4 linked regions of the Coturnix japonica genome follow. The protein of the gene in region 4 binds, or shares a complex with, the protein of the main gene of each other region. Links are inferred from orthologs where the notes say so. Each region holds a gene or a part of one and is shown on either strand. Other genes may lie near its edges.

Evidence for each region.
Region 1: CNOT2 (region 4) and CNOT10 share a complex: the UniProt entries of both Homo sapiens proteins name them as parts of the CCR4-NOT complex. The link is inferred for Coturnix japonica from reciprocal best matches to the Homo sapiens genes CNOT2 and CNOT10.
Region 2: CNOT2 (region 4) and CNOT8 share a complex: the UniProt entries of both Homo sapiens proteins name them as parts of the CCR4-NOT complex. The link is inferred for Coturnix japonica from reciprocal best matches to the Homo sapiens genes CNOT2 and CNOT8.
Region 3: CNOT2 (region 4) and CNOT7 share a complex: the UniProt entries of both Homo sapiens proteins name them as parts of the CCR4-NOT complex. The link is inferred for Coturnix japonica from reciprocal best matches to the Homo sapiens genes CNOT2 and CNOT7.

The regions. Positions count from the first base shown.
Region 1 is NC_029517.1:37,317,696-37,325,859, reverse strand, and holds the start of CNOT10 (CCR4-NOT transcription complex subunit 10), read right to left. Parts: upstream 5,320-8,164; 5' UTR 5,140-5,319; coding exon 5,118-5,139; intron 2,680-5,117; coding exon 2,588-2,679; intron 1,807-2,587; coding exon 1,645-1,806; intron 1,403-1,644; coding exon 1,252-1,402; intron 486-1,251; coding exon 340-485; intron 1-339. UniProt on the Homo sapiens protein: Component of the CCR4-NOT complex which is one of the major cellular mRNA deadenylases and is linked to various cellular processes including bulk mRNA degradation, miRNA-mediated repression, translational repression during translational initiation and general transcription regulation.
Region 2 is NC_029528.1:6,000,742-6,007,617, reverse strand, and holds the end of CNOT8 (CCR4-NOT transcription complex subunit 8), read right to left. Parts: coding exon 6,819-6,876; intron 6,120-6,818; coding exon 5,958-6,119; intron 5,615-5,957; coding exon 5,470-5,614; intron 4,885-5,469; coding exon 4,774-4,884; intron 4,482-4,773; coding exon 4,332-4,481; 3' UTR 3,157-4,331; downstream 1-3,156. Other genes in the region: GEMIN5 (gem-associated protein 5), read left to right, coding at 1-309, 587-683, 1,765-1,920. UniProt on the Homo sapiens protein: Has 3'-5' poly(A) exoribonuclease activity for synthetic poly(A) RNA substrate. Its function seems to be partially redundant with that of CNOT7.
Region 3 is NC_029519.1:56,946,611-56,954,168, reverse strand, and holds part of CNOT7 (CCR4-NOT transcription complex subunit 7), read right to left. Parts: intron 3,670-7,558; coding exon 3,559-3,669; intron 1,281-3,558; coding exon 1,152-1,280; 3' UTR 1-1,151. UniProt on the Homo sapiens protein: Has 3'-5' poly(A) exoribonuclease activity for synthetic poly(A) RNA substrate. Its function seems to be partially redundant with that of CNOT8.
Region 4 is NC_029516.1:32,449,088-32,456,645, forward strand, and holds part of CNOT2 (CCR4-NOT transcription complex subunit 2), read left to right. Parts: intron 1-2,300; coding exon 2,301-2,448; intron 2,449-3,072; coding exon 3,073-3,255; intron 3,256-6,075; coding exon 6,076-6,155; intron 6,156-7,369; coding exon 7,370-7,495; intron 7,496-7,558. UniProt on the Homo sapiens protein: Component of the CCR4-NOT complex which is one of the major cellular mRNA deadenylases and is linked to various cellular processes including bulk mRNA degradation, miRNA-mediated repression, translational repression during translational initiation and general transcription regulation.

The sequences.
Region 1 (8,164 bases), on a different chromosome or scaffold from region 4:
GTGGCACTAATTTCACTGACATTTCAAACACAGAGTATCACACAGTCGTCATCTGGGACACCAGGAAAACCAAGTATATTTGGCACTGAAGACAACTGACTTTCTAATATAAGTCTCTGACTTGGGACACTTCTTAGCTCTTGGCACAAAAAGGGTGGGAAGGAAAGAACATACAGCTACTGTACACAATTAACTTGGTTATTAAAATGTGGCAGTTGTCTGAAGTTACAGATATCTTAACAGCTTTAAAATTCTGAACTATTTTAAAAGACTACTTTTGGATTTAATAAAAACATACCTTTGGTAAAGACAGCGGCATTCATGCCATTTTAAGCTTACCTCATTTTTTCCATTCTTGCTGTTATTGTTGCCCTGTGAAATCATTTTTTCCAGGACAGCAAGGAGATGCAAGGCCTTCTCAGCCTGGTAAGTCAGCAGGTATAAGTCCACAAGCAGGAAGCACACAGCCTGGGCAAACTTCTCCTCTATATCAAACAAAAGTAGATCAGTATTAGGACTGTAAGATCCTTCCTATCTAAACAATCACAGAACAAAAAAAGCAATAATTAGAAAACCACTTTAACAGCTGCAAAGTGCATCTACACAATGTTATGAGAAAAACCAAATACTAAATAAGAAAAAAAGATAAAAAAGCAGACACCTACATCACACAGACAAGTATGTTAACACAAAGAGGTAATTCTTTCATACCCATGTCATCTGAAAGCAAAGACCAAAGACAGCTTAAAAATCACTTCACATTGATTTTGAGTACTGATCTAAGCACACTGGCACCAAGGATCCAGCGTCTAAAGAGACTGATGGGCCATAAGCCTATACAGAATCTTACAGAACTTAAGGATTCCATACAAACACATCTCTGCATGGCTGGTTTCACAGAGTAAGCTCCACACAGGCATACTGAGAACTGAGGGAGAAACAGCATTATACTTACTGGATTTGTTGAGACCCACACATACAAACACTTCATCCCTGTTGCTTCATAAAATACCTCCTGAAGTTGTCAAATATCTGTTTTAGTTTTGTTATACTCATCTGCTAAGTGTCTCTGAAGCACCTTCCCACCCAAATTCAAATGCTGTCCTTATAAGTAAAGATTACTCATCATTCCTAAGCCTGTCTTTTTTTTATTACTATTATGTACGTTTACAAGTCACTTTTCTGATAAGCAGAGGAAGATCATTTACTCTGCCTCGTTACTGCACAAACAAAACTCTTCTGCCTACACACCGAAAGGCTCTATAAACTGGTACAGCTTCTCTCCAACTGATATAGCTTCAGTATACTGACGCAGATGATACAAAATAACAGCTTGATTGTAGTAAAGCATACTATTTTCAACATCATCTAAACCATCCATTTCTTCAACAGCAGAGTGAACCTGAAAAAAAACCCAAAACACACAGAACTGAATCTTGTTTATCCTTAAGCTTTCCAAACTTATGATGTTAAAGCATCAAATGTTTATTATAGAAAAATAATCCAAAGGTACTAATGAGCCTAAAGATAGGGCAGTAACAGTTACAAGTTAACAAAGGGAAGAGGCAAAACTTGTCTTCCTATTTCACTGGAAGATCCCATCCCCATTAACAATGCTTAAATATCATGCAGTGGTTGCATTACCTGGTTCTTCAGCTGGTTCAGGGTTTGTCTCAAATTGTCTGTTGTGGTCTGGTTACTTTTACAAAACTCTGCAACTGCAGTATTCAAAGTTATTTTGTAGTCATCTTTGTTTATGTCTTGAAGGGTGTTCAGGTGTTGCAAACAGGCATCATAATTTCCCGCCTGGAAACAGCAGGCATCACAAAGGGATTAGTTTAAACTTTGTATCCTCTAATAAGTCAATAATTTTTAATGGCAGCCTCCTCCTCTCTCTGAGTCTAGAGAGCAATGTAGGATTTCCCTGACCAACACAAGTAAACAGCTCCACACCAACTCCATTTGTCATGCAGACTGAAATGTATGAGAAGCAAGTCAAAGCTGAGGTCCTAACTAAAACTGAACAAGAATTCAATGGAGAAAGAACAAATAGAACAGTTAACTATTACAAACATGTTTCTACAAAAACTGTTGTTCTTTTGGCGTCATTATATCAAGCTTCAAGATTCTTTATTTCCTCAGTTTCCACAATCTGTCTCCATCACACGTACACTGAGCAGCTGCCTGTCTAACTCGTGGCCCACCTTTTTATGTTTGTCTCTCACTTCATCTTCAGACTGAGTTCCAGTTTAGCCCCTGGATGTCTGCTTAACACAGGCCGGCAGAAGAGGAAGGTTACACACCTTTCCTAACTTTCCCAAGAGAGCCTTAATTTATGTTGCTGAATGAATTATTCAAGAATATTATGCTCACCTTGAGGTGCCATCCAACCCAAGCCATTCTATGATACGATTCTATGATTCTATGGAAATGTACGCACTGGCTTTGTAATACAAGCATTGATTTTAGTATAATAACTTGCTAATACATTCTCCGCCATGCTAAGAAAACTGGGGAACAAAAAATTCTATCAACCAGTTTAGCAGTTATGTGGTAGAAGAGAAGCTTGGGCTTGGCTGTGTCTTACCAGAAAAGCTTGTAATGCACTGCTCGACAACTCCTTCTCCTGATCAGTGATTCCTGAAGTACCAGCTCCATCGTGCTTCTCAGCACCTTGGTCTGACAAAGGATGATAGAAAAGTTTGTAAACACAACAGAAGTAATTCAGCTCAAAAAACATTGTTTGTGCCCGTTCTCAGGATCCTCCTGCCAGCTTGTAGGGAACAGCATTAAGAAAATGCTGCAACTATAGTTTTGCTATGTTCCCTTCTAGATGAAGACCAGTCCAGCATGTAAGGTTTTATTTGTGATGGTTTGAGCAGTTGTACAGTAATCTAACATGGTTTTAATTGTCTTCAATTTCTTTGCAATAAAATTCAAAACTACTGGAGGGAAAACCAGAACAACCAGTGCCACACCAGACCAGCTTGTATCTAGAAACCTCAACTCACATGTTCACGTAGTGTTTTTGAAACAAAGATTATACACCTGCCATGGCTTCCACTGCTGCAGATAATTAATTCTTCAATTCCACAACAAGGCTTTTGCTTGAGCCCGTATTTTGCCATGTTAATGGGTTTGGTGGGCACTGTATATTCAATGTCTGTCTTTTCCTAGAAAGAAAGGATGTAATGCAAACTCTGCTAACTTTGTTTTCACACCAAACAAATGAGAACATTCCTCTACGATCTCCACTACAAAATACACTCCCCATAAGCACCAACACACCTGAATCATCCACTACTCACTGGCTACAAACACTTGAAGTTTATTTACGAGGATGGACAACAATAATAACCAGGCCTAGGGACATTCCCGATGTAATATCCATGGCAGGATCAAAACACAGTCACCATTCAGTTCCTGGGTTGCATTTGCTGCAGGGAAACACTTTCCACCATCCTACACAATCATACATTTCAGCAAGAATCTATTTGTTGCTTGCTGAGGCTTCCACCCTGCATCATGATGCCCATGAAGTTGAGATGTTAAAACTCAACCATCTTTCACCAGCGAGTCACAAAGCAATGGGCTGCGAAATGGACAAAACTCAGGGTACAGCAATTCTAGTACTTGGGAGGGATGGACTCTGAGGGTGCTACAGAACTACACACACCTACTGTGAAATCTGACTGCACATAATTGGGGTGGTCAGCAGGGGCAGGGAGGTGATTGTCCCTCTCTACTCTGCTCTTGTGAGGCCCCATCTGGAGTACTGTGTCCAGGTGTGGAGCCCTCAGTACAAAAAAGACATGGAGATTTTGGAAAGGGTCCAGAGGAGGGCCACGAAGATGATCAGGGGGCTGGAGCACCTCCCCTATGAGGACAGGCTGAGGGAGTTGGGTTTGTTCAGCCTAGAAAAGAGAAGGTTGCGGGGTGACCTCATTGCAGCCTTTCAGTACCTGAAGGGAACTTACTCCCAGGAGGGGAGTAAACTCTTCGAAAGGGCTGACAATAGCAGGACACAGGGAAATGGTTTGAAGTTAAAAGAGGGAAGATTTAGGTTGGATGTTAGGGGGAAGTTCTTTACTAGGAGAGTGGTTAGGCCCTGGAACAGGCTGCCCAGGGAGGTTGTGGATGCCCCGTCCTTGGAGGTGTTCAAGACCAGGTTGGACGGGGCCCTGGGCAACCTGATCTAGTAAATGTGTATGTTTGGTGGCCCTGCCAGGCAGGGGGTTGGAACTACATGATCCTTAAGGTCCCTTCCAACCCGGGTCATTCTGTGATAATGCATTCACCAGTGGAACCTTTTCCATAAGGAGAGAGAAAACAAACATCAGAAAAGTTCAAAAAGCTTTGATGTGCCACAGTTTTCTCACAGACAGAGAGGAAAGGAACAAGAAGCATCTCTCCTCATACTAACCACGTAATAGATCTGACTCCTTAATATTTGTGGTAGAGAACCCACTGACTTTCAAGGACCTTTTTTAACAGCAATGAAGAAATAAATGCATTTTCCCTCCCACCATCATGCTAACAGATAGGTTATCTGCTTTACTTGCTCCCCAGGCCTCAAGGTTACACCAGCATAAGCAACAACAATGCAGATATGTGAGAATCGAAACCTTGGGACGTTTCTAATGCTCAGCCTGACCAGGAGCTCCCCACATACACAGGTTTAGCTCTCGGTAGGGCCAGGCAAAGCCGCAGCACTGGGTACCGCCTTTGTCTGGTAAGCAGGTAAAACAAGCAATATGGTGCTCACAGAGGTCTGAACCTTGATGTGACACATCTTTAGGTAAGCAAACAATAAATGAAAGACACTGTTAGCTGCCCAGGAAACGTGCCACTTACACAGCTACATGGTGTATTTCCTAGGGAAGCATCAGGGCAGCTCTACAGACTTCACTATGCCTCTACATCACATGTAGAAAGACAAAAACGAACAAGTGTTTTAAACAAAGCTCTCCTGCAAAGTCACTTTTATGGTTACAAGCTGAAGGCCGAGATCTCACACCTGTTAGCTGCACCTCCAGCGGCCATAGCCTCCAGGCCTTTCCGTACCAGTTACCAGAGCGTATCCCTCCGCCCGGGCCCACGGCCGTTCCCCCGCTCACCCGCAGTCTTGTCCGCCGCCATCTCTGCCACCGTTGCCACGCGAGACGAGACGTTCCCCTGCTCCTCCACCAAACACCGGGCCGCTGTGGCACTACTTTCCCTCCGGTCCCTACGCGCCGCTCCGTCCCTATTACCCGCCGCTTCCGGGTTGCCGGCGCCCACCGACGTGCGGCCGTTGCTGGGGACCGCGTCTGACGTCACGACGCCGCTGCGCTCCCCCCCTCCCCCCGGAAGGGGCGCCGTGCTCATGCGCCTCGCAACCTGGCTGCGTCCCCCCGGCCGCCATGTTGTTGGCATTGCGCGGAGTGAGGCTGGTCTGCCAGCCTTCTTAGAATCGTAGAATCATGAAATCGTTAACGTTGGACAGATGGCTAAGATCACATATTCCAGCCACCAGCACATCCCCACTATGCCCAGTGACCACATCCCTCAGTGCCATAATTTGAGGCCATTCCCTCCCATCCCATCACTGTTACCGGTGAAAAGAGGCTGACCCCCACCTCACCACAGCTCCTTTCAGGCAGCTGTAGAGAGTGATAAGGTCTCCCCTGAGCCTCCTCCAGACTGAACAGTCCCAGCTCCCTCAGCCGCTCCCCATAAGACTTGTGCTCCAGACCCCTCACAGCTTCACTACCCATCTCTGGACACACTATAGGGCCTCAATATCACAGATCACACAGAATCACAGAATCACAGAATGACCCGGGTTGGAAGGGACCTCAAGGATCATGTAGTTCCAACCCCCCTGCCTGGCAGGGCCACCAGACATACACATTTACTAGATCAAGTTGCCCAGGGCCCTGTCCAACCTGGCCTTGAACACCTCCAAGGACGGGGCATCCACAACCTCCCTGGGCAGCCTGTTCCAGGGCCTAACCACTCTCCTAGTGAAGAACTTTCCCCTAACATCCAACCTAAATCTTCACTCTTTTAACTTAAAACCATTTCCCTGTGTCCTGCTATTGTCAGCCCTTTCGAAGAGTTTACTCCCCTCCTGGGAGTAAGTTCCCTTCAGGTATTGAAAGGCTGCAATGAGGTCACCCCGCAACCTTCTCTTCTCTAGGCTGAACAAACCCAACTCCCTCAGCCTGTCCTCATAAGGGAGGTGCTCCAGCCCCCTGATCATCTTCGTAAATGTCCTTGCAGTGAGGGACCCCAAACCAAACACAGTACTTGAGGTACTCACCAGTGCCGAGCACAGAGGGATCATCCCATCACCTCCCTGCTCCTGCTGGCTGTACTATTTCTGGCACAGGCATCCAGCTACTCTGTTTTCCCTAATGCTACTTTGACACAATGCAGGGGAAGGTTTGTAAGGAAAGGTGATACTTTGTTTAACAACAAAGTTACAAAGTTAGAAAGAATTCAACATGCACATAACCTCCCTGCTCTGAATGCCTGCTCCTGAATGCTCAGGTATGTCTGATGTGGAGAGAGGCAGCCGCCTCTCTCAGGTTGGGTACAGTGTCTGTTGCCAGTGCCAGAACAGCAGCCCGATAGTCACAGAGCATTTTGCACTAACACAGAGAGGCACCACTGTGAATTTACTGCTCCCTGTTGTACTTTTGCTTTGACAGTCCTGTCAGAGCGAATTCAGCCTGAAGTATGGCAGCACTGGTACCCAGCTTTGCATCTCTTCTCCATCGTGACATCAGGAGGACAGTCATGGTAGTTTGTTTCATCCCTCATGCCATCAATGTACTGCAGGGCTTGTTTACCCGAGGGATACTTACAACAATCTTTTGTCATATATTTCCAAAATGAAAATGTTTATCCTTTCTAGGGGATTAAACATTTTCTTGGTTAGAATAGAATATCTTTTCCTCCTTCTTATTACTGATTAAATCTTATGGTTATGTGTGTGAGAGACAATGAAGAGACACACACCCTTTGTGTGGTCCAAGTGTGTGGTCATGCGATCAAAAATGTAATTGACATTTGTCCTTGAAAAATAAATTCAGCAATAACATCAATACCTTCCTCCAAGGACGAGGGAAAGAGGTTCTTGAGTACACATATGTATGGTTTGCATTATTCTGCCTGAGAATCGTGGCAAGTGAGCAGACAGAAGAACATGCATCTGGTTCCAGAGAGGCAGGTACGCCACCTGCTGAAGGAGATACAGAATAAATTCAAATGTCCTTTGAGAGAATAAAAAGTGTGTTAGAAATAAAAGTCATCTTCTAAAACTCCTGTTTTGGAGTTTTAGTTTTTCAAGAAATAAATCATCACAATTAATTCAATGCTTTCTTTTTAGTCCTTGCGTTCTCAAAACCATCAAGACAGCAATCCCGTCCCCTGCCTTGCTGCAGATAACCTCCCTGCTGATCACAAACGAGCAAAACCCAGATCATAGGGGAGAAAACAGGGATTTACAACAACCCCATCACTGCCAGGCTGCTAAGAAAGGGAAGAGTAGAGCCAGCTCCAAAGGAAACTGTAAAAACTACAGTTCTATGGCCAGATACTACAATATGGAAATCTTGGCAGTACTTTATTTTTCCCGCTGCTTTCCAAATCACAGGCGATTAGGTTAACACCTACCCTGCTACTAATAGGGCTTCCTATCTCTTGCCCCTCTAAACCTTAGAAGAGTCCAACCCGTAGGTGGCACTATGCAATAAAACAAGGCATGTTCCAGGACTGCATTTCCCCATACAGATGGAGTTCTTATTTAAAATGTAAACTAGTGTAAATGTAAGTACATTGAATGCAATTATTAGTCTCAGTCTAGTAATCCTCTTTTTCTGAATCTGTCCACCAAAGGCAATAAAATATACCTCATTTCAGTGCAGTATTTGTGCCTTCAGAGTGCCATGGAATATATTTTCCTGGAAAATGATGGTGCATTGCAGACTGTTGCCATTTTTACTCTGTCTGCAAGCAGTAAATGAACCAGCATGGGCTGTGTCTGCTTTAGCAACTCACTTAGAGCCACAGGAGCAGGCTGATGGCTGTAAAAAGCTGTTCTGAGGTCCTTCGCACTCCTGGCACACTCACACAGGTTGGTTTGGGTAAGGAGCAAAATGACCCAGTACATCCTGGA
Region 2 (6,876 bases), on a different chromosome or scaffold from region 4:
CAGTACAACTGAATGTAATAGATGCAAGACAGAAAGTGACTCAGAAACTAACTCAGTCGGTTTGGCAGACAGACAGTCAAAACTGAATGGCTGCAAAGTGCTTCTTTCAGAAGCGATCGCTGCTTTACAGAACACACAGAGAGATATAGCTGAGGTCCAGAAGATTTTAGCCGACATGATCCACCGGCATCAGCAGCAGAGGAATACTCTCCAGGAAAGCACAAATGGAAGTATCCATGAGAACAATATGCAGCAGAGTTCAGAGAAAGAACCGGACGAACCATGCTCTGACAGCAGCCAGATCAAGTGGTAAGCGTTAGAACATGAGATGGATTGAAAAGTGTTGCCCTTTAGTTTATGTTTGCACAGTGGATTTCTGACTTAGTTCACATTACTTCTAATCTCATGCTGATCACTCCAGGACACCAAATGTAGGCCTAAGAAGTCTTGCATTTCCGTAAGGCGTTACTGTGTGTGTGAACTTATTGCAACTGAATGACTTTTTGATAGGTGGGTTTGATTATAGCAGGGAGGCTACACAGTCATTCAAACAAAACAATTACAACACATGCTCTTTTCTTAACAGTAAAGATGAAGTAAAAGAAGCAATTACCCTCCCTGAACTAACAAAGCAACTCTTGGAAGCAAAGCAGAAACTAGCAGAATTTCCAGACAGCTTAAAGGTAAGTTCTCAAAACAAGTAGTATAGTCTGAAAGAAGACAGTCTTTTTGTAAGTCATTGTAATGCTATAACTTGATAGAAAGTACAGTAGTAATAATGGGGCGGCAAAGCCCTAGGCTGCAGCAAATGGGAAGCCCAAACACAGCAGCTGTAGATACAGAAACAAAGGGAAAAAAAAATCACTTACCTTTGGAAGGCTTCAGGTATGCAGGGATCTCCAGCAGAATCCCCTCGCTTCCACTGCCAACCCTTAAATGAGGTTTGGGAAGGGCTGGATCCTGGTTCCACCCCTTCCAATCACTCAGGAGCATTGTATACACCTGAGCTCTCCTGAGCTGGCCCTGCCTTCCACCAGGTGCTCCATCACTGCTTCAGGCTGGGACTCAGCATTTTTGCTAGTCATATACTATGGTTTTTTTATACAGAAGGATCAGTGACTTTCTTTGTGCCCCAGCTGCACTCTAGATTTGTAAGATAAAGGTGCTAGTAACATAAATATAAGCTGGCTGATATAGGTGGGCAGAATCACCCTCCATTTCCCTGAACTAATCCCACAGCAATTTTAATTGATAGAGAAAGTTAATACCTGGCATCAGGGTTGGATTCTTGCTTCAGGCATTACTTTCTCCATGCAGTTGGAGCACGCAGGTGAAGTCTCTGCATGAGACAACTCAATGGGATATCTTGTATGAATCTTTCCCATGTGTTCGAGGAGCAGTCCCTTGTTATGTACAGTAACTTCATATGCAGAAACAGTTTTGATAATGAAGTCACGAATGTCAGTTATAAAATGGCCTATATTAATTAGAAACTCTTCAAACACCACAGTGTGAGATTGTAAATCACATCTCTAGGCTGCATCATCCCTTCTCTTGTCTAGTCTATAAGTATTTATGGTGATAGTGCACAGAGGAGCCAACTTGGTTAAATGTGTGCTAATGTCCTGGAAGAAGAGGAAAAATCCCATCTCCCCAAATAGATGTTGTAAAGCAGTTTCTAGATGGAGCTGCTTGAACGTCTTGTAGTAAAACAATTCTAACTGAAAGAGTGGACTCACTCTTTGTTCTTTTTTTTGCATGCAGGTCTTTCCGTTCCCTGATGTGCTGGAGTGCTGCCTTGTACTCCTTCACCTTGGAGCCCAGTGTCCTCCTGAATTACACCAACAGGCATTGGATCTCCTTAGAAAACACGGTAGTGCTGACGTTTATGAAAAGGCTGTCAGGAAGTTCTTGACGTGACCTTTTGAGACCAGACACACCTCCTCTGAGCTGCTTGCAATCACTTAGCACCAGTTAACAACAAGACTGTTCTTTCTTCAAAGTGAAGGCTTGTTTCTACAGATACAGTTACTGATGACTACTGTTTTGGATAATATTACAAACAAATCAGGTTTATATCCACACATTCACGGTTATCAACTGCTACTTAATGAGATTACATTAGGAAATTGAAAAGTAGTAGATTGCAGCCTTGAAACTCTATACAGGAGTTTTATACGTCTTTTATTTGCTGGAAGTTATGCTAAGGAAATCTCTTGGAATTTACATGCAAAATAGTTTTGAGCAGCTGTCTTCCAGCAGAAGAGCACCAGCTGCCCTCTGAAGAAAATAATGGTTCCTTCAAGTAGTCTGACCTTTAAACCAGTGTTGTACTTAAGAAAAGTGTGAATTTATTTCCCCTTCTTTAAATAAAGTCTTCTACAAGCAGGAATGGGCATTTAGTAAGATGTCATTAAAAGTAATTATTTTTGTCACTGCTAATACAATAGAAATCGAACTTGCTGGATAAAGCAGGTGTTTGTTGCATACCATGACTCAGCTTTGTGTTTTTGTTTGTTAGCTTTTAAATACAGCGAGGGTAAATTTGAGGTAGTAACAAGTTCTCTCTTCTTCAAGTGTCAAAAGTGATCCTAGATCCCGCAGTCCTGAACTGTTCTGGCCATTCTTACAGCTTACTGGAGCTTTTTTCCATCGTAACATGATTTCTTTCTGAAAGAACAAGGCTGCAAAGAGCCTCAGCAACTTCTAGAAGCAAAATGACTCAACAGCAGCAGGTAAAAGGAGGGAGTTAGTTGTATCAAGAGATGCATTGACCCGTTGAGTTGTTCTCACTAACTTGGAATTGCTTGAACCAGGAGGGGGAGCTACTGCTTAACCAAACAGCTCTCCTATCGTTTAAGTGGGAATCGGTGAAGCTGAGGCAGGAAAATGTCACGCAGGACGCATCAGCAAAATAGATTTGTCATTTTAAGTGGCTAAGCTGCTTGCTGAGCTAACAGAAGGTTCTTCCACCACAGGGATTTTAAGCACAAGGTTATCGAAGAACAGTTGATAAAAGCAAATTTTAAGAACTATCTCAGTCATACATCATTAGTAAAAGAAACTTCAGCATCTTCCCTTTCTTGCATGCAGGTATCTCTTGAGTTCAGATTCCAAAGGCTGAGTTCCATCAAGTACTAAAATTCCCAAACGAGGCCTTGTTTAAAAAAAAATTTATTTTACAAAAATTAAAAACAGGTTCTATTTACAAGTATTTCAAATCCCAGCTCTAAACCCTCCTTCCTAATAATGAATTCTTTAAGCTTGTGTCAAATGCATGACCAAGTCAAAATTCTATGTTTGCCACATCCAAAACTTTTGCAGGTCTTTTTCTTGCTCAATAACGTCATTACAGAGCTGCTGGGGAAGAAAAAGTATTATAGAATGACTTGATCTTTAGAAGTCAGAATCCCACATTGTTCATCCATTCTCTAGCTCTGATTCAGATGTTTGTAATGACGGAGAGCTGTTTTGGAAGTTATTAAGCATGGAGTAAAAAGCAGGGAGAAGAGGAACAAGTTTATCCATGTTCTGAATTAACTGTGTCATAATGAGACTAAGATTTGTAGGTGAAGTTGAAGAAGACTGAAGTCAGAATATTGGTCCTGTCAAGAGGTTCTCAAGCAAAAGGCCCTCTTAATTTCTATCTAGAATTGTTTAACACCTGTAAGAACTAAGCCAAGGCTCAGTATGGGTCAAGCCTGTACCACAGAGAAATAGAAGCCATGAAGCTGACCAAATCAACTTGAGACTCGAGTAATATCCATTCCCACTGTTAAAGCAAATCTCCAAATAGTTTTAGCTGCAAGGATCGTTTTTAATGTTATCCTTTCTCAAACCTCTGCAGTGATCAAAGGGAGCATATTTTCCACAGACTACACAAAGATAAAATAAGCAAAAGATGAGGTGAAGCTGTCACCCTCACAACATGCAGAAGTTTTAAAATAAGCTTTCTAAAGCACAGTTTGAAAGTTCATGTGCACGTCTGTGTCTGACTTCACTGGATTTCCAGGTCCTTGTCTTAAAGGAATATTATTACATTGTTAAGTCTTCCTTGCAGATTCTGTACAGTATAAAGAGGAAAAAAACAGAGGTATACACAGTAGTTTCTGTCTTTTGCCCTTCGTATTAAAAAGATGGCAAATCACAAATGCTGGCATTAGGAATTGAGTCAACTCTGTCCAAGGTTTCAAATGAAGATGCAGCTCTTCAGCAAAACTGCAGCCTTCCAGAGATTGTGTACTGTGCCTTTGAGACAGCATTAGGGAAAATGGGTGAGGTGACAGCAGCTGCCAATATAGTAACCATATTCTGCTGAGGACTACCACCTATCATGGCTGCATGTTGTTGATAATAGCCAAAATGCTCATTTTCTCCTGGGCTGAGTCCACATCTTCATTTTGTTTCTGAGCCACTCCTGTGCCAAGGCCATACAGCCGCCCACAATACTTTGCATCATCAATTGTATCCTCAAAAAACAGCTGCGGAGAAGAGGGAAAAAAAAAGGAAATTATTTAATTGTTCCTCTAAACTGGAAAGCACCTAACCTTAATGAAAGAGCTTGTCTGAAGTCAGCACCTCTAGGATTCAGCATAGGCAGTAAGACAAAGATTAGATTCTATACCAGTATACACAATTCTTATTACTGACCATTTTGAAGTGTGGTGATACTCACATAGCCAAAAAGAAAAGCAACACCAAAAACACATGGTTTGTATTGATGCTGATGGATAGAGACGAGAGAAAGGAGGACCAAAAAGAACACTGCATTACCTCTTTCATTCTGAAGAATGCCATTCCTGTGAGAAGAGAGTCTGATCCTGCCTGGTGTTGTCTTCCAATTCGCTGCAAATCCAGTTGATCTGCCACTTCTTGAAGGCCACCCTGCAATGGAAACAGTCAAGTTTATTTTCTATGTCCTACCATAAGTGCCACACTGCTCCAGAACACAACTGTTAAATATATTATATGCAGATTCCAGCAACATAGTGAGCTATGAGTGAAATACAATGATAAATATTGTTCAAGAACGCAGAAATACTCTACTCAAATTTAGGTACCTTGCTTTCCTGCTGCAGACGCATGAGATGACTGTGGGTACATTCACAGGTTACAAATGCTGCACCCTTTCCTGAACCAAGGCTGTGATTCAGTACATAAATAATTTTCAACCCTCTGAGTGCCTAGCAATTAATAGTTCACGTATGACAAAAGTGTTCCACTCTGTGCAGGTGAAAAAAAGTAATAAGATAGACACAATTATGTCAACATTCCCTACATAATAAACATATTGACAAGCTTCTAACTGGGGATGTAGTACTTATTAGATACAAACTTAGCCTTAAGTGTCTGTGACTACTGGATTTTATACTCCAATTCTGAGAGACAATAGTTCTGTCATTTGGCTTCCTGCATATCTGTAGGGATGTTGCCCATCCAGCCCTCGTTTGCATCAAAGATGAAAGTTACCTTGAGGTTTTTGCAGCTCTTCATTAAGTATTTGACATCATAGATTGATGGGAAGAAAAGGTTCAAGATATGGAAAAATTCATGTTCCTCTTCAGGTAACCTGGAATCTGTCAACAGCTTCACCATGTAGCCGAAGTCATAACCACTGAAAACAAACATAGAGAAACCTGATAAACAACACCTGTACTCAGCTGGTATCAGTGTTACATTCGTCTCATTAGGGTGTTTTTCTATACTTACAACCTTCTTTTCCATAGAGGAAGATAACAGCAAAACACGCACAAAATACAGATCACAGAAGGTGCTGAGATAAAATGAAGTACCAGTACTTAAAGTTCGCCTTTACAATTTAAAACTTATATTAAGAACTGCACAGCTGCTAAAATCCATCTCCTTAAGGTCTGTTAGTCTCTATGGTCCAAAGCAGCACTATTTAAGCCAAAAAGAGGCATCTTGTTCTGTAGTACCAGTAATCACCTCAGACCTACCTGTGAAACGACAGCCATTTCACGCTGTCACTAAGGACGACCCCTGAAGTCATGAGCAACTCAGCAAAATGCAGGGTATCAATCCCTTCTTCTTCATGCTTCTGGAACTGCAGCCCAGAGCTTGCAAGGAGGTCTATGGAATCCTGAGAGTACATATCCTCCCTGAAGGAGAAAAGCAGAGCTTTGCAGTCAGGGTGCTAACAAGGAAGGCTCATTGCCAAAAGATTTCTCACAAGTTGCATTTTGGAAAATCAGAGTGACCTGCAGGCAATCCATCTCTGAGCTCCATGGCTGTGTCTCTAGGAAGCTCAAATCACTTTTAATACCATTACTCCTATGCATTTAACAAGCTATTCTGCAATCTTAACCAAATATTAATTCTGTCGCTATTGCCAAACCTGAAGAATGCCATAAAACCTTCACACAACAGACATCTTGAAAAGTAACACTGAGGGAACAGAAGTGCCACAGATGATGGGAGAGAAGTCAACAAAACTCATATCAAACACGATAACTTTGAGTCACAGTGTCAATAAAACTCAAACCAAACATGATAACTTTGAGTCAAATAGCGTTCAGTGTCAAAACCTCTTTGTTATGACTCCAATGCTTTTAGGAGGCTGACAGTTGTGCAAGTAAACACTGCCACTTCTGTTTGCAAGAACTGCATGATCAGCTTATAGTAAGTATATAGTAAGTATACATGCATTTAATTGATTACATAAAATATATGGAAATGTATAAAAAGCACGTAAAGTTTGAGATCATAACATCATTCCAGAAATACTGCAATGCCTGTCATGCCGGCATTGAGCCTCACATAATCTCTTCTGGTGTTGCTCCCTAATGCAGAAGACTCACGTGAGGTTGAATTTGAAGTTAAACTGCCAGGTGTTGATCCCAGAAGGATACTCTCCTT
Region 3 (7,558 bases), on a different chromosome or scaffold from region 4:
CTCAAGTAACTTTATTTGTTCTAAGTTATTTATATTTTGTTGTTTTACAACAAATATCTGTAACATCTGTCTTTGTAGCAACTACAAAAAAGCACAATTTAGTTGTCCTAATTCAGTTAAATAGGGTTGTTTTGTGTTTTTTTTCAGATCTTTGGGTTTTATCTTGAACTGAACTGACTTCCAAAAGTTGTCAAATCACCTACATAATAAATACGACTTCATAAAAAAATATTTGTTGTATATGTGTCACTAGAATAAAAGTTAATCAAGGGAAGTGCGCCATTACAAAATTCCTACTATTCCAATAGCCTTCAAATCTCAGCTTAATGGCAAAGGTGGTAAAGTCACAGCTGTTCTTTTCCTGAAGGGTTTAAAGCTGTCTTCTCAAGCTTCTTTCCCTCCTCACAGAGCGGATCTAAAGCAGCCAGCCAACCAGCAGTTGGCATGTGCAGGACGTGTTTGATGGCAGAACACTAGTAAAACAACAGCAGTTACTATGGTTTCAGTAGTTTGTTTTGCTTGAACGAATGCAGGTTATACAGCAAATGTCATGTTCTATGGGTTGAAATACCAAAAGATGCCAAAAATACAGTGTGAAGCTGCTGAACTTGGAGGATTATTGTTTCCTAGCTAAGGGCAGAAGGGAAAAAAAAAACTTCAAATGAAACAGAGGATTGAGTCAGAGTTGCTCTCTAAAGTGCAAATTTGATGGTCCACAATCTTGAATAGCTAAAACGCCTGCATACTGGAAGGAACAGACATGAACGGGGAAGTTAGTTACAATCAGCATGAGTTAATTTGGAGAAGGGAGGGGAAAGAGACAAAAAACCTAAGACCAAAGACCGATATAGGCAAGTTTACCATACTATTCATAATGATTTAGCTTTCCCCTTCTCTCTGCCACACTGATCCTACACAAGCTTCTTTACAAATGGGCTAGTTATGACTCCAAAAGTAACCCATAAAATTCTACATATCAATATCAAGATCAAAATCTGTGATAGGAACAGTCAGGTTTAATACATAGAAAGGCAGAAAAGAAAGTGTGCTGAGAAAGGGAGAAAAAAAGCCTTATTGTCCAAGGGGTTCAACCAGAGATAAAACGTATGTACAAGCATGTGGAGCTCAAAAAGACGGCCTTTCATTTCGTGTCATGACTGCTTGTTGGCTTCTTCTTCATAAGCATTTCCCGTGCCATTTTGTACATAAGATGACCCCGAACCAAGGCCATACAAGTGGCCACAATATTTGGCATCGTCAATGTGATCTTCAAAGAACATCTGAAGTGTTAAAAAGAAAAAGACACAAATTAATGCCACCAAAAACACCCAGTTTAAACAGAATGACAGAAAGGCTAAAAGACATTACACTGTTGGTTTTAGCACTGCATATCACATCCCAAGATTCAAATGACAGAATTAGCATAACAATGCATTTAATCTCAACACATGATCAAAATGTGCTATACAGTGCAATTGTTTAAAGGAAGGAATACAAACAGTCACCTGTGCACCTCACCTGCCAAAACGACCATGTTTTGGCAGTTTGGTATTACCTCCGTTATTACTTGCTTTTCTGAAAGCACAACAAAATATTTTCTCTGGCATATTTCTTTCTGCTTTCTCACAGCAGATGTATGTTTGGTATTCATTGCAAGTGCCCACAGTTTACCTGCTTATTGTTGTGGGGGTTCCATCACACCTTGTCTTAAAACAGATTTATACTACGTGGGTGTGAGGTGAGAATGAGGAGGTACGTGCTCAAGCACAGAAACTACTGAGTTCGGCAAATGTATCTTCCTGCATTTCTCAGCTACATCCTCTAAGAGGGCTTCATTTAACAATGAGCAGCAACATTAAAGGAAACTGCTTTTTTTTTTTTTTAACCAAGACTACATTTACATAAGACTTTAAAAGTCTTAATTATCAATAGAACCTTTCAGGTTCTGTACTGCAGGAATAATAAGCAGAGAGGAAAACCTCTAAACCACAGCTTGCTGTTCCAGCATCAATATTAACACATCTCTGATGGGAAGAAAAAGATCCAAATTTTTTGGCTGGGACTCGAACCAGCAAGTTGAAGTTCCAAAAGCAATTATTAACACTTATCAGCACTATTTTGTACGTTTAAAAACATTGTGAAACAACGTTTTTCACTCCAGCGTACATTGCTAAACATTGAACTCAACTGAAAAGGCTTTAGAAGTGCACTCTAAGTATATTTGCTGCTCTTGACTAGGATGTTCTTACTTCAAAATGTTGTATTTTAAAAGAAACCCTGAAAAAACAATCAATCTTTGTTGGCTTATTTAAACAAATGATTTGTACTAAAAGCTACATTTCTTTTCTCTGAGACAACAAACTCTTTAATAATAACATGCAATTTGTTACATGGCGATCATGGGTTTTGAAAGTCAGCACCTTGCACCTTAGGTATAATCAAATACCTTCCTTTATTTGCTTTAGATTTTGGTTCAAATACAAAAGATTGCAGTTAACAGCACCTGTGAAGATCACAGGTGGACCACATCATAAGCAACATCCTCTACGTAACCCATGACCAGCTCAACAACATCAACAGTTTCAGGAGAGGAGAACAGCATTGTGATGAGCAAGCCAGATTACATCACAGCACTTATATTTCATCTGCTGTTTCACTAGCAGTTGTTAGAAACTCACAGTCGGCTTTTTTCCTTTATAAAAAAGGCCACGTTACAGCAAGTAGAAGCCTCAGCATTCAACACTAAACCCTACAAAAAGATGAGGCTCGCTATCGCCACTATTAAATGACACCAAATTCCTGGCAGAATGTCACATTCAGATGCCCCAGCATTTGTCCAGTGTAACTGCTTTCAAGAAGCCTGTTTAGAATTTGTTTATTCTGCTCATACAAAATATCCTAATATTCTCCCAATGCATGCAGACAAGTAGCATGGACACACAAAGCTTACAAGTCTTGATTTCCCTTTCTGCAAAATTGACTGACATGTTTTAGAATCTGAGTTATTTTGTCTGTGCTTTACCAAAGGTGAACTCAGGATGAACAATTGCATCGTTCTCTGCAGCAGCCTACAGGTTTAATACATATGTACCCCGCAAGTTTTAGCTGGAAGCAGCCAGCGCAGGCAGAGCTGCTCATTCCCTGCTGCTAGGCCTGGCACAGGCAGCAGTGCACACCAGCTGGGTATTACAGCTCAGCAGAAGCTCTGCAGAAAAGCAGCCCGAATACAGTTACCCAGAAAAGAGCCTGGCTCCAGCAGCCACTTTGCAGAAGAAATCCTGCAAAACAGGCAATGGAAAGAAAGAAACAACAACAACAACAAAGCCAGCCATACAATGAAAACAAGCAGTGATGCTCACAGTAGCTAAACAGGGAAAACAGTAGGGCTGGTTTACACTTAGTCTGGGGAAAACACAGTCTTAAGTCTGTCAAGAAAGCAGGGGCCTCTGAAGCCCCTTAGAGATCACCATAAAATTCATCAGACGTAACAGAATCAGCAATTCCATCTATTACAGCAAATTACTACTATGGAGACAAAACCAAGACACGTGCACCTACTTCTCTCATTTTGAAAAAGGCCATTCCTGTGAGCAAAGAATCAGATCCTGCCTGATGCTGTGGTCCTATCCTTTCCAGCTCTAACTGCTCAGCCACTTCTTGCAATCCACCCTGAAAATGAAAACATTTGTTAACTGCTGAAAAAAAAAATGAAAACAAAACCAAACATCAGTATTTGGGAAGAACTTGTTATACCAGACTTTCAACTTCAGCATATTTTAAATGCTTGCACAGAAGCTTAAATAGTCTCTTTGATGGAAGATAAAGCTTTCTCTATCAACAGTTGAATTCAGTTCCATCTCAGAGGAGCTTAAATCAAGCAGCGCCTGTGTCCAATAGAACTACTACTGCTTCATGTTCCATCCTCCCGAGGGAACAGACGCTGCTACTTAACAAAACAATCCCTTCAAGAGGTTGCAAGGACTGGCAAAGCTGAAGAACAAAACAAGGTGTTCCTATAACCCTTCTATTTGAATGAAAGTTTAAACAGTAAAAATGTCATTCTACAAATACAAGAATTCAAGTTCTTACAAATGGGTGCTTTGTTAAAAGTATCCAGGCTTCCTCTGAAACAGACTCATTTTCTCTTCCACTTTTTAACAGACCATTTGAGGGTTTTTCAGTTCCCTTTATAAAAACTAGGAGTATCCTTAAATATCTAGGAAGCTACAGGAAAATAAGGAAAAAAAAACAACCCAAGTACACAGCCCAACCCTACAAGACATTCTACTCATCTTTAAAACTTGTTCCATTAACTGCCTCAAGAGGGTAGGAACAAAGAACATACAAATGATGGATTTCTGTTTTGCAAGTTGTTTTTTCAACACAATGAAAACCAAAGACATAAGTCAACTTCCTCTCAGAGATGTATATTTAACAATCACACCACATGGAATGAAACTTACCTCTTACAGAAGAGTATAAGCATCCCACATGCAAAAAGGAACCATTTAACACTCACTGCCTGAATGCTGACACATGGTTTGAAATAACATACTGAAAAGGTACAGAAATCACTGCAAACCTACCTGCCCCTATAAGACCTATAATAACCATTTACAGAAGCAAACAGTCAGAAATTTAGTTTGGTTTTATGTAGATACATCTATCTTTCAAGTGATGTGCATGATACTTCAACTGTGATCTTTGTAAACTGTGGGAATATAATTTTGTACTATTTAAAAAACATTAAGCCTTAAATCCCTAGAAATGCACTAAAGCATGTGGCATGTGCCTTATAGTCCAGAAAGATCAAAAACCAAGGAGAAAAGGAGAAGCCTTTAGTGAAAATACAAGCCTTTGCAGGGTAAAAACATCACACAGACAAAACGATCTTAAATCAATACTGCCCAGCATCTGAGGTTACCTGTGTCCTCAAAACCTTTAGCCTGTTTCAACCACGGAAAAGGAAACAATAAGAGGTAAAAGTATAACAGTCAGTGTTAGAATTGATACACTAACAGAAATCTGACCAAGAGGTCAGACCTAACATTATGAAAATTTCTATGAATCTAAATGCAACACATCTTAAAAACAAATCTCCAGTAATAACATTCCCAAGTAACACCAAGCAAACCAACACGGTACTGGCATGTCTAGCTTTATTCTAGCTTGAACAGGTGAGTATCACTTGCTTAAATTTGAGAATTACCCTATATGTAGTACAGTCAAGCACTGAAGTTTGTTTTCTTCCTTTGCTTAGAGATAACATTCAATCACTGCATATACACTAATTCAGTGGTTTAAGTTAGACCCTTAAGGAAGTTCAGGGATGATGGGCAGAAAATCAATCAGATCTCAAATAAAAGCACATTCTCTACAACCTAACTTTCCTATTGGCATTAGCAACAGCAGTTGCCTTTCCAAAGCACTATTTGCTGTTTGTAAACTCTTGACTTTCCCAAGCTGACACTTAACATCGCCTCATCATTACGTAGTGCTAGCTGTTAGGCTATCTATACCAGCTTCACTTAGCACCTGATATCACAAATCAGTACTATTTACACAGTGGCTGCAAAATTTATAGGAACAGCAGCAAAGCAAAGAAGGCTTTGAAAATAACCCTTCCAATACATATAGTCACCAGTAGATACATTTGTAAACATATCATTACAATTGCCTCCAAAGATTATTAGGCTACTGAAATTTTATTACAGGAAAGACTTCACGCTCTACATAAGAATATTTAACTTGTGGGGAAGAAAGGCAGTAGAAAGGGATTCAGAAGAAAATGAAAGAACAGCCTATAAATCTACTTTAGAACTGCTATTACTGCAAAAACTGTATGGAGTTGCCTGCATGAAAAGATTTTTAGACCCCAAGCAGGAATTTAACCTGTACTACACAAGTACCTCGAGTTAGTCACAGTCTGCCTGCTGTGTAGTACACTGATGTCCATTTTTGTTAGAGTAGCATACTGTGGATTCATTGTAAGAGCAGCAAACAGTTTCCACATCCTCAAACACTTGTCTTATCAATGCTAAAAATTCACTTTTGGCTATGTGAGGGCAGAGGTAGGTGGGAAGCTTAGAGTAAGTCTGTTTTTTGTATGAAAATAACTTATAAAAGTCAATAAAGGACCACTGCACAGCAGTTCAATTCTCTGCCATTTAATAGAGACCAAACATGACAATTTTTGAGTCACAATATGCAACACTTAGCAACTTTTCTTTTCAGACAGCTGCTCTCAGAACAGTACAAGTCCACAATAATTTCATTTGCTGGTGCTTAGAGTGGTAGGATAGCCCACATTCCCTCCTGTCATTACCAATCTGCAGCTAAGAAGAATAAGATTTGCTGCAGGAAAGCTCACCTACATATTAAATGCTCAAAAAGACACCTTTGTTCTTAATTTTTGCTGAAAGAAGACTCATGAAGGTTTTTCTTATCTTCCAAAATGCATTTGAATCTCTAAACAGTGCAAGTTACACACAACTGCCTTAATTAAGTGACAATATAACTCTCTCCTCCCCAAAACCACTTGGAATATCACCTATGGAACAGCACTATGGAATGCCATTTTGTTGCCTTTCCCAGGTCACTGAAGTAGATGATACATACTGTTCTTGATAAGTATATCACCACCACAAAGACAAGAGACATTTTACTTCACTCAGAAGTGAGAAAGTTTGTGGGTTTTTTTTTGTTGGTGGTGGTGCTGAATTTGCTGCCCCTAACCCTTAGGAGACTTCTGAAGCTTGATGGTTTTTTTTCCTTTCTAGCTTCTGTGAAGAAAAAACATGTCTAAAATGTTCTCTAATGTCCAGCCATTTGCCCAACTGGTTTTCCCAATAACTGGATGAAGTCCGGTAAGTATACTTTTCTTAATAACTAAAAGGGAGATCTCCATTATCAGCAATTTGGTTCACAAAAGAAATTACACATCTTTGGATGCTACTATTTAAATGACACACTAAACACCTCAAGGAAACAAAGGACTATTAACTCCATGCAGACCACTCATTCAGCATGAGGAAGTGAAATGCCTCAGGATTTAGTTGTACTACAGCCAATGCTCTTGTTTGTTTATTCACGTTCTTTTTAAGAAAGACTAAAAAAAATCAAGTTATTTTCCATATAAGCAACAAAGTCATTTATTGCTTCAGGTGAGTGGTGCACTTCATTCCCGTAGCAGTCCAGAATCTTAAAGTTCTTTAGCAAGTACAGTCGTTAACAATCCCTGTAGCATCTTTCACTTCGCTGTCTTCCCCTTCAACATACTTTGTTTCAATTCATTTTCCAGTTCAATTAAGTCTCCAAACGTCATGCCAATTAGCAGCCCTGCTGGCCTGATATGAGAGATTAGTTTCTAAAACTACTTTATTTTTTTTTCCTCTAGAAGTCACGTGCTGCTTCTGAATATACGCTGCTCTTTATCTTTCCTTATAGGGCCATCTGAAACATTCTTCACTCCATTCCTCTTCCCAAGAGACTTCCACAGCATCACCGTTGCAATTACCTTTGTGAAGACGACTGCAGCCCTTTAGTGGACTGCACAATG
Region 4 (7,558 bases):
TTGATGAGTGTCTCTGTCATACCAGTGGGTATTTGATTGCCCTGCTGGGACTTTCTGGCCAGTCCAAGAGTCAGGTTTAGATTTTTGGGTCCCTAATCTGACACTGCTGAACCTTTCAGGCTCAGCTGCATAAGATACTGAAGTAGCTGATTATTTTTAGGGGTGAATATTTTTTTCATCAACTTTGTTGTTCAGTCCAGTTGTTTGTCATGTTTTGGACACAATCTCTTGAGCATACAGACTTGTGCTGCTGAAAATTCAGGAGTAACTATTTTCAGGGTTCCAAATATGGAGAAACTGCTGCATTTGTGTAAATTCTTATGATTAAAACATTCTGGGAGGGACAAAGCTTCTGTCCAGGTACTTTTAGATAGATAGCTGTCCATCATTTAGCAAAATGTCATTTTAAAGAATTAAGTTAAACTTAATTTGTAGGCATTAAAAAATAACCACTTAATCAGTTGACAGATGTCTTGTCTCAGTGTAAATGAAAAGTATGGAAAAAGAAGGCATAAGAGAAGGTTTCTTTGGATGCTTTTGGTTGGTTTGTTGTTGTTGTTGTTCATTTGGGATTTCTTTGTAATGGCAAATATTTCAACTGCCCTTACTTGCCAGCCGCAGGAATACAGGAGCAGAACTACTCATTAAAAATTCTAATTAAAGAAAAGCAACAACTAGAAGAAATGCTATTAGTGAAAAACTGACTGTGTTGGAACAAATGCTTGCACAAAATCAACCTGAATACAGTAATCACTTTTATTTCAGTGTACCATCTCTAGAAGAGCATGGGTGTTTTTTTTTCCTTACCATTTTATTTTTTTAAATTCCACCTAGTTGTTAATTAATGTGAAATATTATTTATAATATATATTTATGCTCATTGAAATTATTCTGATGCAGCAAATTGCCAAAATATTTACAGCGAACACCTTGATATAATCAGCAATTAATGAAGTCTTAGGAGGCTTCTTATAGTGAGTCACGCTCCTTAATCTCAATTGATAAAGTGGAGTGTTATCCAAATCGCTCGTTGCAGACTTGTTGAGGGAGAACATTGGGGCAGGCAGAGCTTCTGCAAGAGTGAGAGCTGAGCAACTGGGAGGTTTCTTCGGACCTCGTCCATAGCAATAACTGGAGCGTATGCTGTGTCTATTCTTTGCGTTCTTAGTATTTCATCATGTCATACGCTGGCATATTCAGCTCTGCTGTAGGGGTGATTTATCATTGGAGAGTGCTGATTCGTCTTAATTTTTCTTCCTTTTGTCTGCAAGATAAGGTTTTAAATTCTCTGAGGCTTCCTCAGCAGCCTCACACCAAAGCGATAGGACTGTTATTTATAGCTATCGCGTTTTAGATGCAAGCATGTTTCTGTTGATCTGCTGCACTAAATGGCTTTCTCTTGTCTTTGGACATAATTTTAAAACTTCATGAATACAGAAAAGGAACGTGGAAACGATCAGAAGCTCTGTAAAGTATTCTGACGTTTTGAGACTGGTTGTTTTTTGTTCTTCTGAACTGAGATGGTTTCTTTTTATCGCGCGTTAATAAAGTACTTTCGTAATTTCACAGCACCCAAATGCTTGCATAGAAAATAATTTTTATGACAATGTAAAAAAAAACAAAACAAGCAAGCCCCCAAACCAGCCCTGTGTGCTTTTAATTCCTAGTTGAGGATGCTTAAATTCTACTTGCTTTCAGTCCTCAAAAAATTAAGTTTAACCTGACTTTGGACACTGTAATTGCCTTAACAAAAAGAAGCAACTCAGACTTTATAGAGAAGTGTCCTAAAATATTCATTCCGATGCTCTGAAAGCCATGTTATGAAATATTCCTAGTTTTATTTTTTCTTAGTTATAGGTTTGCGTATTTTTTGACAAGCTAGATGGACGTTCTAGATGCTGGCCAAATATGTATCCATTTATTCAATTGCAATAACCTCGTTCTTCAGTGGAGATGTTTATTTTCTCAGAACACCGACTTTTTAAATATGTGGATTTCCATGTAGATGTCCTCGTCAACAAAACCACAGCTCCCCCTCTTCTATTCAGAGTACATCTCAAAGGAAACAAAATCTTGTTAGTGACTTAAAGAGCCTTTCTCGAGTTTGACAAGAATGGGGCTATGTGTGAGGTAACTGGGCTTGTAGTACGCAAGCAAGGACTTCATATTACGCTGCACTTTCCTACAGTCTTTACACTTTTTGAGGTTGTCAGCATAAGTTGTTTCCATCCACACCTGATGGCTAAGACTTTGTTCCGGATCGCTATGTATCTCCACCCCTCTGAATTTTTTTTCAATAGGTGCACTAGGCCTTCCAATGAGGGGAATGAGCAACAATACCCCTCAGTTAAATCGCAGCTTATCACAAGGCACTCAGTTACCGAGCCACGTAACGCCAACAACAGGGGTACCAACAATGTCACTTCACACGCCTCCATCTCCGAGCAGGTATTTATTGATAGCCAATGTTTCTGCAATTGTGTCTTTCGGCAGAGCACTTACTAAATGTTCTGCGTATCGTGCCACAGCTACTTTTAGACTGATTAATTAAAAAAGAAAAACAGTAATTTTTTATTGACCACTGCCTGTGTTAGGTAAGTAATACCGTAAAACGGTAGGATAAGACTTAACTTAAGACAGTGTTTGATTTTGTATGTAAAGGATGTAAAGTTGTTGGCAAATTCTGCTTCAGAATGTAAGAGTCTGTTTTTCAGTTGTTCTGGTAAACAAATGGTAAATGTTTTTATATGGCTGTATTACAGTATGAAAATATTAAGGTAGTAGGTCTGAAGTGCTCTTTAAATAAGAGTTGTAACGCCTCTTCAAAAGCATAGTACTTAAGTATTTATCTGAACCTGACCGAGGACTTGATTGGTACGCAATGGGTCATCTGGTGTTTCTGAAGAAATCCAAAACTACGTTAATTATAGAGAGTACTCCAAACATACAGTGTTGAGTCTAAGCACAAATTAAGTTGCTACAACTCTTAAGTGTATCCTACATGAGTAATTTAAATGAGTAACCAAATACTATTGTACAGATTCATCTCTGTGGATGGTTTTTCTCTTTCAGGGGGATATTGCCTATGAATCCTAGGAATATGATGAACCACTCCCAGGTTGGTCAGGGCATTGGAATTCCCAGCAGGACAAACAGCATGAGCAGTTCAGGGTTAGGCAGCCCCAACAGAAGCTCTCCAAGCATAATATGTATGCCAAAGCAGCAACCCTCTCGACAACCTTTTACTGTGAACAGGTAAGGCTGTTTGGTCAGACCATGCCTGTGCAGCCATGGGCGTGCTTAAGATCTGCTTTCAAAGTCTATTTTTTTATCCATTAGAATAAAACTTGAAAGTGTTGCTTTGCGTCTTCCGGTCTCTCAACGCTAACTTTCCAAGCTGCTGTCAGTAGTTGTGCAGCCATTTTTGAAGCCTTTCAGCTAAATTCTGTTTCTGACTACTTAATTTCTACTATTCCTTCTTTAAAGTATGTGATGTTTCTAGTATGTTCCCAAGTTTATTTTTGAAACAGACTTTGTTTTTTGTATGTATACATCTTCTTGAAAACTCTCCATCTATGAGTTTGGGAAGAATTTAGTCAAGAGATAATCCAGAATAACTGTTTCAAATTGTGGTTCTGTAAGAATAGTTAACTGATTTGGACACAATGGAGACCTCATATTTTACTTTAAATTCTGGAATAATATGGAAAGCAGTGGTTTGCAACTCATCCAAGGTGCTTGTTTTGATGCCAGAATTTTCTCAGTTACTTCTGCTCTTTTTTTCTAACTCTGGGCAAGATTGTGGCATCAGAAATCATTGTGCTTTACCTGTCTTGTTGATATGTTTATGCTTAGTTTATATTGATAACCTTGTAATAAAATGTGTGTCAATTCCAATTACATAGTGTGTAATCAGCTTCATGCAGCTGACTGTTTTCCAGACTTCTTTCCGGAGCCTCATGATCCCTGTGTTCCCAGGTCATTCCTCTTTCTCGCTTCATGCCCTAGGCTAGGGGACTGAGCTCAAATACACTCCTGGCAATCAAATGCTACCTCTAACCCAGTGTAGTATTTTTACTAATCAAATGAAAAAAAATGGATGCCAGTTATCTGAAACTTGATCAGTCTTCTTAATTCTGTATCTTTGCATTATGATGTAGGCATAAGTAACCTCTTTCTTCATCACAGCAATAGAGGTTTGATAATAGTAATTTGTGTTCTTGGAGTATGAGAAGACTTTGGTCAGAGACCACTCTGAAAGTAATGCCTCCTATTTTATTTCCATGGAAACTACAACAGATATAGAGACTATAACAACTATAACAACAGAGAATTTGATGGAGCAAATTCTCAGCTACGAAACACCATTTTTCAACATAGTCACTGCTGTTAGCTATGCATATTTGCCCATGATGAGCAAGACCTTGCATGCCATGCTTGTCAAAATCTGCACCAGCTGAGGTGACCCACTCACTGCCTCAGTGTGCTCACACCCACTGTTTGGTCTCCGTAAACATTCAGTAAGTTCCAATGGAAGCCATTTATTCCAGATGGAGGAATTCACTTCCACACCTTTGCTTATCCGTGCTTCCATCTCAGGTGCCATTGTGTCAGACTGCCCCTCTGCTGCCTTCTGTCACACAGCAACAACATGTAACAGAATATTGGTGGGATGGTTCAGCCCCCACTGCCATACCACCAACATCTGCTTCTGATGTTGTGGGATAACACAGTAAAATAGGAGGCATTTCTTAAAGAGCGGCCGTTGTGTCTTGGCCTTTTCTTTCCTGTGTTGTGCCAGCAGGCAAAGAAGCTAATAATTTTAAAACATTATTTTATAATTTTAAGTGTTTGTAAAACTTCAGCATGGATAAAAAAAATCTACGTGCAGAGAATAATGATTTTGGAGGTTGATGTATAGGAAGTACTTGTTTAAACAACATCCAGCTGTAGGGCAGAGATAATGAAATTCCATTCTGTAGGAGCGTTTGAATGAAAACTCTTCTTTTGCTGTTTGCACTGTATAGCTCATGTTAATGATGGTACAGTTTTTACAAGCTGAGAAGGACATATTACTAGAACAATGCCAAGTTCTTACTTCATGTTTTATTAGCCTACAAAAGTATAGTACATGTCCAGTTGTTAATTGACTATATTTAATGAAATGATGACATGACATTTGAAAAAAAAGTTTTTATTTCCTTGAGAGGTACATGAATTATGTGACTTCCATGAATTGTTTTGAGAATTGTTCCTTTTCTTGGAGCAAAGAATGACTTCAGATCTTTGAACACACAAAATACTTAACTTTGTCTTTCTTGGTTACATCAGTAAAACATGACGAAAGCTGAGGTAACACAGGTTAACAAACAGTTTACAAGTAAGTGTAAGGAAATACGCATCTGGTAGCCTAAAACCTTTCTTATCACTGGAATTCTTGGTCTAGTTAATTCTAGTTATTTTAAAAACAAATGAACATGCACAAATCATTTAGGTGTTTGTCAGACCACAGCACTCCTATCTAATTCTTAGATATCTTCAAGTATATTTACTTGTCTGTATGATACTTTAACTGGTATCCTTGTATGGCAGATACTGTATGTTGTGATGGTTGCATACAATAACTTTCCAGCTTTTAACTGAGTCACGACAAACTTGATCCCATCAATGATTCAGCTTCCACCCTCAAACGAATGCTCTCTAATCTGACTTTTTTCTATTGTCTTTACTATTATTTCATTTTTATGTATGAAATTACCAAGTAAAATGCACATTTATCATAACTTGTTGGCTGACAGATGTCAAAGAACTTGTGTCTGTTTAAAAAATAATAATAATTTTTAAAAAGCAGGTTATTTCAAAGTCATTTCAGTTGTCTTCATTCAGCAGTGCTTGTTGCTGTTCGGAATTTTCAAAGGTATGAGGGAAAGTGATAAAAAATTGAGTTTAGGCTAAAGTGGATTGCATAAGATGACATAATTTAAGTGCCTTTGGCTTTTTTTCCTTGATGCCTTCAACTGGAAATTATGAAAGTCTCTATTCTCTTTTCTCTGACTTCTTGGATTTTTTTCACAGTATGTCTGGATTTGGGATGAACAGAAATCAGGCGTTTGGAATGAATAACTCCTTATCAAGTAACATTTTTAATGGAACAGGTGAGTTTACTCTTAATTTATGCTGATCTCGCAGTTCAATAGAGAGATTTTGGTTTTGATTGGATAAGGTTAGAAATACTTCGAATACAGTTGTTGAACGGAAGTGTTGCCCTTAGAGAGCAACTCTGCGCTTTTATTCAGCAGATTCTTTAAACCTGACATTAATGCAGAAAAAGTACTTTATTCTAGTTTCAAGATTCTGTGGGGAAAGTGTATTAAAGGTTTGTTTGTTTTCCCATAGCATAAAATAACAAAAACAGTGCTCTGCCATCTGTTGTTATTGCTTTAGAGCAGTGGCTTGTAATACTTCTGAAAGGCCAAGTACAAGTCTGCTGTAGAATAATCACTGTACGTCACTTGACTTGAAGTTGTGTCTGTTCAGTTAGGAATGCAAAGTAGCTTATGGAATTGGATAGGAAATGGGAGAAGGAATATTTCAAACATTACAGAGGATAAACACAACAGGGCAGCGTTTTTAGAGACCTTGAAGTGATCCTTTTGGTCAGTTGTTTTAGTTGGGATTTTTCCCAGGGAATTACTCTTCACCTGACTTTAATTAGAAAGAGATCAGTGTTCTCATGTAACAGTGCTGTAGGCTCACGGTGCTTTGGTATTGGCTTGTTGGTGGCTGCCTACCAAGGGGTGCTGCCGATGTCACAGCACGGAAGCCTCAGCTGAGGGGTTTGGCATCCCTGTGGCCTTGTGACATCCTTATAGAGCCCTGTTGCTCTCCTCACCCATGTAGTTTTATCCCTGCAAACTGGAAAATCTTCCTGTGTTACCTGTGTCTGCAGTGGTTTGGACTTTACCTTATCTTACCTTATCTGAGTGGAAAAGAATTCCTTGTTGATGATATGGGTGATTATTTTCTCTGAAATCTTTCCTTGATAGCTCCTTACATTTTAAATGTGTTACCTATCCTAGTGCTGTGGTTTTGATATTCTTCCTCTATCTTGTCTAATTCAGAAAGAGCAAATGGTGTTACTAAGTACTGCTGGCTACATTTGTTTGAAGAAAGTCCCAATGTCCTTGAGACTAGTGTCATAATACAGATGTTGTATGTATTTGTGGTAGTTATAAATGTAAGAGTATAAATATGAATTAGAAGCAAGAAAATATATCCAAGATTTATCTTGTGCATAATGAAATGAAAAAAGAAAATAAATAAAACCAAACGGGAACAAAAAAAATTAAAATACCTGCTTTTGTTGTAGATGGAAGTGAAAATGTGACAGGACTGGACCTCTCAGATTTTCCAGCACTAGCAGACAGAAACAGAAGGGAAGGAAGTGGCAATCCAACTCCATTAATAAACCCTTTAGCTGGAAGGGCTCCCTATGGTAAGGTTATATTTTTGAAAACTCTTTGAATGAATGACATGTCTGTTTGCTCAGTTTGCCTTT